Saccharomyces cerevisiae S288C: one gene and its partners. The protein of the gene in region 1 purifies or fractionates together with the protein of each later gene. This does not show direct contact. Each region holds a gene or a part of one and is shown in the gene's direction. Other genes may lie near its edges.

Region 1 (7,363 bases):
CCGAAGTAAGTAGTACCCGTTTACCCGATTTGTTGTGCCGAGGCAACTGTTCTAATGCTTCACCCAATTCTGCCTCGTGCTCCCGATTAGTTTCTAGATGCACCTCAACCTCATGTAGAGTGTACCCGTTTTGTTCTCTTACGTTCAAATACTCTCTAACCTCTTGAGCATGTTCTGGTGGTATATAATACACTACCCCTATGGTGACTAAGTCGTCGGGATCCTGGATAGGTGCACTTTCACTATACAAATTCACATTCTTCAAGAAGGCAGTTTGCCTTATAATATCCTCATACGGGATTAGTGTGGCCACTCTTCCTGGGTTTGCAGGTGTACCCCTATGATCAGTGGAACTTTGCCAGAACCGACGAGCAAAACCGTGAATTATTGCCGGTATTCTATGCGTGTAATGAGACGGAGGCTTGTAAATCAGAGATCCGTAGCCTAGGACCCAGATACCACTGTTGTCATTAGTCATTTGGCCATACAACTTTTTATAAGCCCAAACCAACGTCGTGATTGCTTCTTCCAAGGTTAAATCACCTCGAGACTAAACTCATAGCTAATATTGACCTTACCTTTTAGCGTTACCCAGAATACCAATTATCCCGCTCCTTGGCGAATCCAAAAAAAAAAAAAAGGAAAAATTACTGGAGTGGCAAATTTTCTCATTCTCTTCATATAAACCACTAGGGAGGACGTCGAAGAAAAGTCTGCTAGGTGTTGGTGACAACTTCCAAGCTTCCCTTAACACAAGGGAACTATTGATAACCGCTGGTTGACATACGCCTTTAAAAGAGGTCATACGTTGCGACACTCTCTCCCTCCCCTCTCACTGATGTTTTCTGTCTTCAATTTCTGGCAATAATCTTAAGACGAAGCAGTCAAGTCCTAAGGAAGAAAACGATTTTTGATTGTTTTAAGTTGCCACTACGTAGTGGTCAATATGGAAGCCTCTGCGCAATGGAGAAACACGGGTGGCATAGGTCAGCGAACCATACAAGCGAGAACACTCTCATTACTTTATGGATCATCTCAGTATTTCACCGTTCGAGGAAAATCTTCTTTCGCAGGCCGAAGTCACCGTGATATATTTGATACTTTTGAGATATCCTTGAAAGGTAAGCTTCTATGTTGTACGTTTATTTTTTTTAACTTTCTTTGTTTTAGCTTTTACTTCGATGATATGTTACTGCCCCATATACGGTAAAAGATCATACGTTGCCAAAATCAAAAGACATGATTGCCTGTATGTTTTCCTCAGCCCATCAATGCGTAATACGGTCAGCTAAACGCTGCTCACAAGCCAAGGGCTTGCGTGTTGCTCGCGCATCGGTTGGATATCACTGGTAGGCCACTTCTTCAATATTTTGAAAATGAAACACGCTAAAGTTGAAAACTTAATTATCAACCGTCCAGAAGGTGTAGGCAATTTCATCTAAGAGAATAAATTTAACATCCCACGATCCTTATCACATCCCATCCCTACACTAGGACATATGTTCCCAAACATTACAAAGTTCTTTCCTGATATCATTACTGATATAAGATTATGTCAATTATTGATACCATTAAAGACATGTAATATGCAACACTTGTCGAACAGATCATAGTTCAGTAGTCGATTATCATACTGTTACCCTCTCGTTATATAATTTTACTTTTTTTCCTTTCCTTCTTTTCAATTTCGAAACTGTACCACGAGAAACATTGTGTAGAAGAATCTTGTCCTCATTATATCTGGTTAGTACTATCGTATTCTTGTCCGGACATCTAAGTCAAGTTGATAAAAGTTTGGGGTTATCAAGTCAAGATAAGCAAGCTTGCAGAAGTCACCTTCTCTTTTCCGTTACTTCTTTTGTGAATATACACATACTTGTTTCTTCCAAAGGAGAAAATTGAATAAGCCTAAACATCGACCATCATTTTCTTTAATTCGTACTTGAGTTCCACTAGCTTACCTATTCACTAACGACAAAGTTTCTCAAAGGTTTTTATTTTTCATTTGCTTCAAGACTTTTCCGTTATTTCTTTAAACCTATACCCAATTCAAAGCAGAACCTTTTCTAATTTAATTCTCACTTATAATGGCAGCCAAGGATATTTCTACTGAAGTGCTGCAAAATCCTGAACTATATGGGCTGAGGCGGTCACATAGAGCTGCTGCGCATCAACAAAACTACTTCAACGATAGCGATGATGAGGACGATGAAGATAATATTAAACAGTCGAGGAGGAAGAGAATGACCACGATTGAAGACGACGAAGACGAATTTGAAGATGAAGAAGGCGAAGAAGATTCTGGAGAGGACGAAGATGAGGAAGATTTTGAAGAAGATGATGATTATTATGGCTCTCCTATAAAACAAAATCGATCAAAACCGAAATCAAGAACAAAATCAAAGTCTAAATCTAAGCCAAAATCTCAATCTGAAAAGCAATCTACAGTGAAAATACCAACAAGGTTTTCTAATCGTCAAAACAAAACGGTAAATTATAACATCGATTATAGCGATGATGACCTCTTAGAATCTGAAGATGACTATGGTTCCGAGGAGGCTTTATCAGAGGAAAATGTGCATGAAGCATCTGCCAATCCTCAACCAGAGGACTTCCACGGTATTGATATTGTTATCAATCACAGACTAAAGACATCTTTGGAAGAAGGAAAGGTCTTGGAAAAGACTGTTCCTGACCTCAATAACTGCAAGGAAAATTATGAATTCTTAATCAAATGGACAGATGAATCTCATCTCCACAATACCTGGGAAACTTATGAATCCATTGGCCAAGTCCGTGGATTGAAGAGGTTGGACAACTATTGTAAGCAATTCATCATCGAAGATCAACAAGTAAGATTAGATCCATACGTTACCGCCGAAGATATAGAGATCATGGACATGGAACGTGAACGTAGGCTTGATGAATTTGAGGAGTTCCACGTGCCAGAAAGGATTATTGATAGCCAACGTGCTTCGTTGGAAGACGGCACCTCACAATTACAGTATTTAGTTAAATGGCGTCGTCTAAATTACGACGAGGCTACTTGGGAGAATGCCACAGATATCGTGAAATTGGCACCTGAACAAGTGAAACATTTTCAAAACAGAGAAAACTCTAAGATCCTCCCACAATATTCCAGTAATTATACTTCACAGAGACCGCGTTTTGAGAAGTTAAGCGTGCAACCTCCGTTCATTAAAGGTGGGGAATTAAGAGATTTTCAACTAACTGGTATTAATTGGATGGCATTTTTGTGGTCCAAAGGTGATAATGGTATACTGGCAGATGAGATGGGCCTGGGAAAAACGGTCCAGACTGTCGCCTTTATCAGTTGGCTGATATTTGCTCGTAGACAAAACGGACCTCACATCATTGTCGTTCCTTTATCGACAATGCCTGCCTGGTTGGATACTTTTGAGAAATGGGCGCCTGATTTGAATTGTATATGCTATATGGGCAACCAAAAATCAAGAGATACCATTCGAGAATATGAATTTTACACCAATCCAAGGGCAAAAGGGAAAAAAACAATGAAATTTAATGTTTTATTAACAACATACGAGTACATCTTAAAGGATCGTGCTGAATTAGGAAGTATAAAATGGCAATTTATGGCCGTTGACGAAGCTCATAGACTAAAAAATGCTGAATCATCCCTTTATGAATCATTAAACAGTTTCAAGGTCGCCAACCGTATGTTAATCACAGGCACACCTCTTCAGAATAATATTAAAGAGTTAGCTGCGTTGGTTAATTTCCTAATGCCCGGAAGGTTTACGATTGATCAGGAGATTGATTTTGAAAACCAAGATGAAGAGCAAGAAGAATATATTCATGATTTACACCGAAGAATACAGCCTTTTATTCTTCGTCGGTTGAAGAAAGACGTAGAAAAATCACTTCCATCAAAGACAGAGCGTATTTTAAGAGTTGAATTGTCCGACGTACAGACTGAGTACTATAAAAATATTCTGACTAAAAACTACTCTGCTTTAACTGCTGGAGCTAAAGGGGGTCATTTCTCTTTACTGAATATTATGAACGAGTTGAAAAAGGCATCGAACCATCCATATCTCTTCGATAATGCTGAAGAGCGCGTCTTACAGAAATTTGGGGATGGTAAAATGACTCGAGAAAACGTACTAAGAGGTTTGATCATGTCTTCGGGTAAGATGGTTCTTTTAGACCAATTATTGACCAGATTGAAGAAAGATGGGCACCGCGTGTTGATTTTTTCACAAATGGTCAGAATGCTTGACATTTTAGGCGACTATTTATCCATTAAAGGTATTAACTTCCAAAGGTTAGATGGTACAGTACCATCTGCTCAAAGAAGGATATCTATTGATCATTTCAACTCTCCGGATTCAAACGACTTCGTATTTTTACTTTCTACTCGTGCTGGTGGTTTGGGTATCAACTTAATGACCGCCGATACCGTTGTGATTTTTGATTCCGATTGGAATCCGCAAGCCGATTTACAAGCAATGGCTAGAGCTCATCGTATTGGCCAAAAAAATCACGTTATGGTGTATAGGTTGGTTTCAAAAGACACAGTAGAGGAAGAGGTATTAGAAAGAGCACGGAAGAAAATGATTCTGGAATATGCTATTATTTCTCTTGGAGTGACAGATGGTAACAAATACACTAAGAAGAATGAACCAAATGCCGGTGAATTATCGGCAATCCTGAAGTTCGGTGCAGGCAATATGTTCACTGCCACAGACAACCAGAAAAAATTGGAGGATCTTAACTTGGATGATGTTTTGAATCATGCAGAGGATCACGTTACTACTCCAGACTTAGGAGAGTCGCATCTTGGCGGTGAAGAGTTTTTGAAGCAATTCGAAGTGACTGATTATAAAGCTGATATAGATTGGGATGATATCATTCCAGAAGAAGAACTAAAAAAACTCCAAGATGAAGAGCAGAAACGCAAGGATGAAGAATATGTTAAAGAACAACTTGAAATGATGAATAGAAGGGATAACGCCCTAAAAAAAATAAAAAACAGTGTTAATGGTGATGGGACCGCCGCAAACTCAGATTCTGACGACGATAGTACTTCCAGATCTTCTAGAAGAAGAGCAAGAGCTAATGACATGGACTCTATTGGTGAATCGGAGGTGAGAGCTTTGTATAAAGCTATTTTAAAATTTGGCAACCTAAAGGAGATTTTGGACGAGTTGATTGCAGATGGAACCCTGCCGGTCAAATCATTTGAAAAATACGGTGAAACTTACGATGAAATGATGGAAGCAGCTAAAGACTGTGTACACGAGGAAGAGAAAAATAGAAAAGAAATCTTGGAGAAACTTGAGAAGCATGCTACCGCCTATAGAGCAAAGCTAAAAAGCGGTGAAATAAAAGCAGAGAACCAACCAAAGGATAATCCGTTGACTAGATTATCTTTAAAAAAAAGAGAAAAGAAAGCCGTCCTTTTCAACTTTAAAGGTGTTAAATCTTTAAACGCCGAATCTTTACTAAGTAGAGTGGAGGATTTAAAGTACTTGAAGAACTTGATAAATTCAAACTACAAAGATGATCCATTAAAGTTTAGCCTAGGCAACAACACACCTAAGCCTGTACAGAATTGGTCATCTAATTGGACGAAAGAGGAAGATGAGAAGCTATTGATTGGTGTTTTCAAATATGGATATGGTTCCTGGACACAAATAAGAGACGATCCATTTCTAGGCATTACTGATAAAATATTCTTGAATGAAGTTCACAATCCGGTAGCAAAAAAGTCGGCAAGCTCCTCTGATACAACACCAACACCCTCAAAGAAAGGAAAGGGAATAACGGGTTCTTCAAAAAAAGTACCTGGTGCCATTCACTTGGGCAGAAGAGTTGATTATCTATTATCCTTCTTAAGAGGAGGCCTAAATACAAAGAGTCCCAGTGCTGACATAGGCTCGAAAAAACTCCCTACTGGTCCTTCCAAAAAGAGACAAAGAAAACCTGCTAATCACAGCAAATCCATGACTCCAGAAATTACAAGTTCTGAGCCTGCAAATGGCCCGCCAAGCAAACGTATGAAAGCCCTCCCAAAAGGTCCTGCCGCCTTAATAAATAACACGAGATTGTCTCCAAACAGCCCCACGCCCCCATTAAAGTCCAAGGTTTCCAGAGATAATGGTACAAGGCAATCAAGCAACCCCAGTAGCGGCAGCGCTCACGAAAAAGAATATGACAGCATGGATGAAGAAGACTGTCGACACACAATGAGTGCAATACGTACTTCTTTGAAGCGACTTAGAAGAGGCGGCAAAAGTCTTGATCGTAAGGAATGGGCCAAAATTTTGAAGACCGAATTAACTACGATTGGTAATCATATCGAATCGCAAAAGGGCTCATCGAGAAAGGCAAGCCCAGAAAAATATCGCAAGCACCTTTGGTCTTACAGTGCCAACTTTTGGCCTGCCGACGTTAAGAGTACAAAGCTGATGGCAATGTACGACAAGATAACAGAGTCTCAAAAGAAGTGAAACAATTTTTCTTCACCACATTTTCCATTGTTCCTTCCCCCCATAACTATAAACGTATTTATGTATATATATTTGCGTGTAAGTGTGTGTACTATAGGGCACCGTAAAGTAATAATGCTTAATTAGTTACTACTATGACCATATAAGAGGTCATACTGTATGAAGCCACAAAGCAGATAGATCAATCATGTTTAACGAAAACTGTTAATCGAAGATTATTTCTTTTTTTTTTTCTCTTTCCTTTTTACAAAGAAAATTTTTTTTGCGCTTTTTGCCATCACCATCGCAAGTTCTGGGACAATTGTTCTCTTTCGCTCCAGTTCCAAGGAAAGAGGTTTCTGTTTTACTTAATAGAAAGTGTCATCTTGTATTTTATATCTCTTCTTTCTTGTGTAAAATTCTTTAGTTTTGATTTTGTATTTTTAGGACAGTGAGCTACGAAGTAACATTTTTACTTAATAACCGTTTGAAGCATAGAGCAGGCCCTGGTACCACCACCTAATATCTGGCTTTTTATTCAATAAAAACTCAAAAAAAAAAATCCAAAAAAAACTAAAAAACCAATAAAAATAAAATGGCTGATATTACTGATAAGACAGCTGAACAATTGGAAAACTTGAATATTCAAGATGACCAAAAGCAAGCCGCCACTGGTTCAGAAAGCCAATCTGTTGAAAACTCTTCTGCATCATTATATGTTGGTGACTTAGAACCTTCTGTTTCCGAAGCCCACTTATATGATATCTTCTCTCCAATCGGTTCAGTCTCCTCCATTCGTGTCTGTCGTGATGCCATCACTAAGACCTCTTTGGGCTATGCTTATGTTAACTTTAACGACCATGAAGCCGGCAGAAAAGCAATTGAGCAAT
Region 2 (3,642 bases), on another chromosome or scaffold:
CTTTGAACGTGTTGAAGAAAAGGAATTCGCAATCAAGTTTGAAGCACAAAAGTTCACATGCATCCTTACAAAAATTCAAAAGAAACAAAGGAAAGTCCTCCATGATAGCACCATCGACAGCAACTAATAGCAGCAATGATGACTCTTGTAGCTACAGTTCCAAAAATTCTACGTTGAGTCACCGAATATCGTTACCTGTACCGGACCAAGTTTCCCGTGATAAAATTCAGAACAAATTAAGATATTCGACCTCATTACTCTCATTAAATTCTAAATCATCTTTACCGATGAACAAAAATGATCATGATGAGACACTTCTAAGACAGATTTTACTAAATTGTGATATAAAGAGAATTTTAAACCCCGCAAAAGGAGATGTATTGCCTTTAATCAACGATGTAAACCATTTGTCATCAATACAATTAACATCAAATGTTTGGCAAATTGGTGAAGTAATCTGTAAAAAAGTTTCTCTCGGTACTATTGATGACATTACATGGGATAGAAAGTTCTTATCTTTGCAGGAACTGGAAAAACTCAAAATCATGCAACAAAAATTTGATGGCATACCGCAACTATTGAAAAGTTTTGTTGTTAAAGAGGCAAATGGGGGGTTGTATTTGTACTTACTATTCAAAGATCACGGTACCCCAATTTCGTTAATCTCACTGAAAAACTGGAAGCAGATTCTAAAGATTTTTTGGTCTTGTGCTGGTATAATTCATGGGTTGGAAAAAAATTTGAAATTTGAACATCGTAATCTTACTTTGGATAATATTTTGATAGATGGTAATGGGAATATAACAATTATTGATTTTAAATGCAGTAGATTGCAAACTCCTCAAGATGATGTTTTATATCTACGGCTAGATCATCCACTCTTTTTTCTAAATGGGAAAGACAAGAGTAAAATAAACGAATACCAGTATCAATTTGAGTTTGAAATCTATCAAAGTATGCGGATCTTGTTGAACATGGACGCGTCAGCTTTTGAGCCCATGACAAATTTGTATTGGTTATATTACCTGTCACGCGTTTTACTAAAGTTTGGTGACAGGAAGCTTGGTAAGAATGATGCAAACAGGGATAAAATGGCAAGGGTGATAAACCATTTGGAAATGAACTTGGCAGTTCATAAAAGAGGGGGGCAGTTATTCAAAAGATTGGAGACGGAGGACATTAAGAATACTGGAGATTTACTAAAACTTTATAAATAAAACAAATAGGAATGTTGACATTTATATTTCATTTTCTTTCTATTGTATACTCCAATACATAAACATATTATATATACGTACATAATGTAATAACACTAATCTAAAATAATGGCATCGTCGACAGCATCCAAGGCTTTCTCCTCTTGAGTCTCCACAGATGCAGGTGCTTCCATTTTGGGAGTCAAAAACAATTGCTTAACGATAAATTCCACGCCGTTGATGACATTCATCAATGCCCAAACCCAGATTCCCAAAGAGACACTCTGTAAAGCCATATCATCAAACTTGGAAGCACCAAATTTGCCCTCCATTATATGCCATTTCTGAGAAATAGTCCTTAGAGGATGCAAGAGAACATATAACCAGCCTTGAGACCAAACACCACTTACAAACGTAGGGAACAAGGTGCTAGTCGAGGAACTCAACTTGTAAACTGGTGTCTTGCCGTACATAATCTTAAACACAAAAAATGGCACCGTCAATGCCAATAACCTGAGTTTGTGAAGATGGGCCTGAAAGGCTTTATTTTCTGATTGTATTTCGTCCTTCAAGTTATTTATTTCTTTATCTAACGAGTCCAATTTTCTATTGTTCTTAGTCCATTTGGCATAATTATCCTGCGCGGAGATAGAGTTGTTGAATTCTTTTAATTCGTGACGTTCTTTGACCTTGGCTAAGTATTTTTTGGATAATTCATTTCCTGGTGCAAATTTAGAGATCCATTTCTCGTGGTATTTGTTTGTATACTGTAGAAACTTTGTGACCACAATAAAGAATATCGCTACCGCTGCTGCCCAATGCATTTCTCCTATTTCAATCAACTAGACGTAGTTCAAGGATTGCAAACTGTCCTGCTTTCTTTTATCTGGTCTTTTTATCCCGAGGTATTGTTGTATATACCACTACTCTGTGATTTTTTTTCACTCTTGGGAAGGAAAGAAAAAGTGAAAACATCAACTGGTAAGTGTCTAATGACAAAAACAGGAGGTAGTTGGTACGTGCAAAACACGATAGTGACGTTAATCCGAATCTGTAAATTGGTGAATTGGTATTTAGAAGCGACCATTAGCTAAAAGAGAGAGAAAACTATGTCGCAAGAGTTTGTGGAAGACTATTCACGTACAGGGTCCTCAGACGACGAGGATAGTGGAGCTTATGACGAGTGGATTCCATCGTTCTGTTCCAGATTTGGTCACGAGTACTTCTGCCAAGTCCCGACAGAGTTTATCGAGGATGATTTCAATATGACCTCGTTATCCCAAGAGGTACCCCACTACCGGAAAGCTCTGGATTTGATATTGGATTTGGAGGCTATGAGTGATGAAGAAGAGGACGAAGACGACGTGGTGGAAGAAGACGAAGTGGATCAAGAGATGCAGAGTAATGACGGTCATGATGAAGGCAAAAGGAGAAACAAGTCGCCAGTGGTGAACAAGAGTATTATCGAGCACGCAGCAGAACAGTTATACGGATTGATACATGCAAGATTTATTCTGACCAAGCCAGGCCTGCAAGCAATGGCTGAAAAATTCGACCACAAGGAATTTGGAACGTGCCCCCGTTACTATTGTAATGGCATGCAGTTGCTGCCTTGTGGGTTGAGCGATACAGTTGGGAAACACACCGTAAGGTTGTACTGTCCCAGTTGTCAGGACTTGTATCTTCCCCAATCATCTAGATTCCTGTGCTTAGAAGGTGCATTTTGGGGGACAAGCTTCCCTGGTGTGTTCTTGAAACATTTCAAAGAATTGGAAGAGTATGTGGAAAGGAAAAGTAAAGAGTCCTACGAGTTGAAAGTTTTTGGGTTCAGGATAAATGATGAGGCAGTATCTGGTCCTAGAATGAAGTGGTTGAGACAATATCCATCCACGGAGGAGGACTGGGAAGAATTTGCCAAATGCGAGTTCGAGACACCGGCGGTTTAACCCTTGATTTATTTTCCTCTTTGCCCTACCATATACATATGTACTTTACCTATTTACATTGTTTCAGTTTTTATATCACCACTATTATTATTATTACTATTACCACTTTGGAGTACTTTAGTGATTCATTTCCAATTGTTTTCCTGGAGCCCAGTCTTTGAATGCCTTGGCCAAGTTGTACCAGTACTTTAGCTCCACGGTCAACTTCACTGCGGCGGCGTAATCCTTGTCATTGTAGCATTGTCCCAACTGGGCTTCAATATCTTGAATTCTTTCCTTGTTTTGCTTTTCAAGCAGCTTCACACCAGCTTCGTCGTCCATCTGGGATAATTCATCATGGATGTCTAGAACTTTCAATAGTAACTGTGGATCACTGGTAGTTACTTCATTTGAGGTCTGTTCTTGCGTCAAATCGATATTGCGCAAGAGTTTTAGCATATATTGTGACCTTCTAAGGGGATCTTTGAGAGTATGGTAAGCTTGATTAAGAGTTGATGACT
Region 3 (3,930 bases), on another chromosome or scaffold:
TAGATTTCCAAACACCATCATTTATAGTTGTGTATTTTTGGATAAATTCCTTCCAAGGAAGCTCTTCTTCGTTTACAAGATTACTATTACTTGCTTCATAGTTCGCATCCATATCTAAAGCCGAATTTATGATGGACCCGTATGCATCTGTAACATAGCCTTTCAGTTGCTCCGTCAATCCTAATTTTCCTCTGACCTCATTGTGAAGAATGCCATTAGAGAGCATTTTGCGGTACTTGCAAGTAACAATATAACTATAAGCGGTTCCCAGGCCATTCATAACCAGGGCTATTGGGAGAATTAAGAATGTTGCAACTAGTATAATAAGAATAGTGCGTCCCCACTTTTTATAAGTCTTGGTCGGTTTAGTAGGAGCATGGCTGTTAACGTTTAAAGCGTTTAGGTCGACAATCTTAGGCAATATTCCTTTATAGCCAGATCCCGGAATCTTTTCTTCGAATGTATATTTCAATTTGTTGTCAAAATCTATAAATGGGTCGCAATCCGTAATAAACGCCGTATAGAAGGCTACCGTACGGTCATTTTTGACATTCGCAAACGCTATCCTCCATTTAAATAGCGAGAGTGCTTCAAGGTACTCACCCTGGCTCAATTTCACCAATATATTGTTACTAGAATTTGCGATAAACATTTCTCTCCCGCTTTTACCTAAAATAGTAGATCCCAAGGTCCTCAGCGCACTATATAACGCACTTTTATATGCTATGCCCGTAGGATTGTAAAACTCTACCCCCAAATGAGGCGTTGCCATTGTAATGAATAATTGTGGTTCAATATCCTCGAACAGTTCTTTAAATTCGGTCAACATCTTACCGATCATAAATCGGGCCACTAATCCGCCTTGCGAATATCCCATTACGCTTAGTTTGGTGATTTTCCCGTCTTTATAATCTCGGATAAATTCACAAACTTCAATCAATGTCCTGTACCCAATGATTTCGATACCATCAAACGTCTTAAACATGGCATTCTGCTTTGGTAAAAAATATATCATATCATCGTTAACATCTTCCTTTTTTAATGTAGTGGATAAAATTGTCCTCATAGATTCCATATGAGTATAGTTACCCCATAGCCCGTGAATCAGCACAAAAAGGTGTTTATCCGAAGTCATCTGAAGCGCTGTATAATATATATGGTTGATCACACGAAGTTTTCTACCGATTATTGCAGTAAAGAGTTGCCACCCTTTCTTTATTATCTTTGTTTTTCATTTTGATCTTATATACTGAAAATCCCCGTTGATCATGATTTGGTAAAGAGCTTCAGAAGAGTTTCCACAGTTTCCTGCAATGATTCAAACGAAACCTCTTCACCAGATCCCATCGAAATGCGTTTTAATTCATCCCTGTGCGTAAATTCAGCTGCATCAAACGTTATCTTGTATAACTTTTGATAGTCTGTAATAGAATTAGAAATACCTCGAAGTCGGAGGCCACCCAAAATTAGCTTGGACAAAGTTTCATTGAATTGAAGCCGTTTGTCATTAATATGCACGTTGCGATACACTTCCGTTTTCGTTCCGATCTTCCTTTGTTGAGATTGTTGTATTATTATATCAATACTACCTTCCTTTGATACGGAGGCCCTTGTCTTTCCAATATCTTGCTTCAATTTGGTGACCTGGCCATCAAACTCATGCTTCATTGTTAGATCCACTTGAAAGCAGTTTAACTCTGTGTTCTCTCGAAATATAATCAAGTATGCTGGCTCCTGCGATCGCTGATCGACCTTGTCAAACAATTCAATGACAATGCCACGATTCGCGTTCCTTAGTTTTGATTTGAAGTAAGCCTGTGCGGTTGCACTGGTACTATAACATCTATATGTATTCATATTTGTGGAGCGGACCCACAAAGGCAGTTTTGCGAGATCTACATACTGAATGAATTGTCCCCTCAACTCTGAAGTTGATTTACTTGCTGTAGGTCGATTGCTCCAAAGTTGGATATCCCTAATGACCAAACTTCCCTGCTTTCCGCTAAGAGTAAAATTTAGTGTGCATAATTTCCGTGACATCAAAAGTCAGGCGAATTGGTGAATGCTGTCCCCTTTCAAGGCAGTCTATCATTTCTTAGTTACCTGCCAACAGGCCTTTATCAGGCCTCAAAGAAAAAAATTTCCTTGCGTAGCCCGCTTTTCGCCCGAACCTGGCAAAGCAAACAGACGATCGAAAAATTTCCAACGATCTTATCTAGGTGGAAGTTATAAAAAGAAGAATAAAGCATCGTCAACCTTTTTAACCTGAATTGGGAAACAACGGGCACACACATTTGTTGGAGTTTGTATGATTGCTAAAAAATAAAAAGTAATTAAAAAAACATCATAGAGTTGTAAGGTCTCAGGGAAATAGAAGGAACAATAAACCTAAAAGAATAGAAGAAACAGAATGCCATTACCTCCGTCAACATTGAACCAGAAATCTAATAGAGTCTACTCTGTAGCTAGGGTGTACAAGAATGCCTGCGAGGAGAGACCACAAGAATACTGGGACTACGAACAAGGGGTGACCATCGATTGGGGAAAGATTTCCAATTACGAAATTATCAACAAAATTGGAAGAGGGAAATATTCCGAAGTGTTCAGCGGTAGATGTATTGTAAACAACCAGAAGTGTGTTATTAAAGTTTTAAAACCAGTTAAAATGAAAAAAATTTATAGAGAGTTGAAAATTCTGACCAATCTAACAGGCGGCCCCAATGTTGTTGGCCTTTATGATATAGTACAAGACGCTGACTCCAAAATACCTGCTTTGATCTTTGAGGAAATCAAAAATGTTGATTTCAGAACTTTATATCCTACATTCAAACTTCCTGACATCCAGTATTATTTCACGCAATTATTGATTGCGTTAGACTACTGTCACTCCATGGGCATAATGCACAGAGACGTAAAGCCTCAGAATGTCATGATTGATCCTACGGAACGTAAACTAAGGCTGATCGATTGGGGCCTGGCGGAGTTCTACCATCCAGGTGTAGATTACAACGTTCGTGTCGCTTCGCGTTACCACAAGGGACCAGAACTTTTAGTAAACTTGAACCAATATGACTACTCCCTAGACTTATGGTCAGTAGGATGCATGCTAGCAGCTATTGTCTTCAAAAAAGAACCTTTTTTCAAAGGGTCGTCTAATCCAGATCAACTGGTAAAGATTGCCACAGTACTAGGAACCAAGGAACTGTTAGGCTATTTGGGTAAGTACGGGTTGCACTTACCATCTGAATACGACAACATTATGAGAGACTTTACAAAAAAATCGTGGACACACTTTATAACCTCCGAGACCAAATTAGCTGTTCCTGAAGTGGTTGATTTAATCGACAATTTATTAAGGTATGACCATCAAGAAAGATTAACAGCAAAGGAGGCTATGGATCATAAGTTTTTCAAAACGAAGTTTGAATAATTGGACAACAATACTCTTAGCAAGGCAATTCTTTTTCCACCACTGATTTCCATTTATAAAAAGCAGGGGTTTTCCTTTTTTGTAGCTTGATATTAGAGAATATCCTTAATGTGAATATTAAATTGCAAACTCTATTTAACAACGAATGTAGATTATTATATGACCAGAAAATCACTTTATATAGATATAAGAGCCTTCCGTAATGCTATGCAAGTTTTGATGAATTATTATATTGTCGTGAGGCGTGTTCCGAGGAGTTTCGTCGCCATTGGGATAGAGATGCTCGTAATCGTACGTGTCTGGAAGTGCCTGCCGACGGTAGCGATGTCTACTCTCGTCCCAGACAATGGAATAGTTTTGGAATTGTTCTACATCATTTATTAGAACACATGATTCACGAAATCTCCCACGTTTGTCAATATCTCGCCTACGAACAGTGTCATCGAATGATATTGAACGCTGAGAGAGCCATTTACCTTTTGAGTAAAATACGCTGCCTT

What was found.
Region 2: the proteins of CHD1 (region 1) and CKB1 purify together in Saccharomyces cerevisiae (affinity purification with mass spectrometry, with the first as the bait; 5 studies listed by BioGRID). This does not show direct contact.
Region 3: the proteins of CHD1 (region 1) and CKA2 purify together in Saccharomyces cerevisiae (affinity purification with mass spectrometry; 7 studies listed by BioGRID). This does not show direct contact.

What each region holds. Positions count from the first base shown.
Region 1 is NC_001137.3:503,305-510,667, forward strand, and holds CHD1 (chromatin-remodeling ATPase CHD1), read left to right. Parts: upstream 1-2,087; coding exon 2,088-6,494; downstream 6,495-7,363. Other genes in the region: GCG1 (gamma-glutamylcyclotransferase), read right to left, coding at 1-478; PAB1 (polyadenylate-binding protein), read left to right, coding at 7,069-7,363. UniProt on the Saccharomyces cerevisiae protein: ATP-dependent chromatin-remodeling factor which functions as substrate recognition component of the transcription regulatory histone acetylation (HAT) complexes SAGA and SLIK. It recognizes H3K4me.
Region 2 is NC_001139.9:455,851-459,492, forward strand, and holds CKB1 (casein kinase 2 regulatory subunit CKB1), read left to right. Parts: upstream 1-2,305; coding exon 2,306-3,142; downstream 3,143-3,642. Other genes in the region: protein kinase ALK1, read left to right, coding at 1-1,217; GET complex subunit GET1, read right to left, coding at 1,313-2,020; J-type chaperone JAC1, read right to left, coding at 3,260-3,642. UniProt on the Saccharomyces cerevisiae protein: Regulatory subunit of casein kinase II/CK2.
Region 3 is NC_001147.6:439,124-443,053, forward strand, and holds CKA2 (casein kinase 2 catalytic subunit CKA2), read left to right. Parts: upstream 1-2,410; coding exon 2,411-3,430; downstream 3,431-3,930. Other genes in the region: LPL1 (putative hydrolase), read right to left, coding at 1-1,135; SLD7 (Sld7p), read right to left, coding at 1,267-2,040; YOR062C (uncharacterized protein), read right to left, coding at 3,602-3,930. UniProt on the Saccharomyces cerevisiae protein: Catalytic subunit of a constitutively active serine/threonine-protein kinase complex that phosphorylates a large number of substrates containing acidic residues C-terminal to the phosphorylated serine or threonine.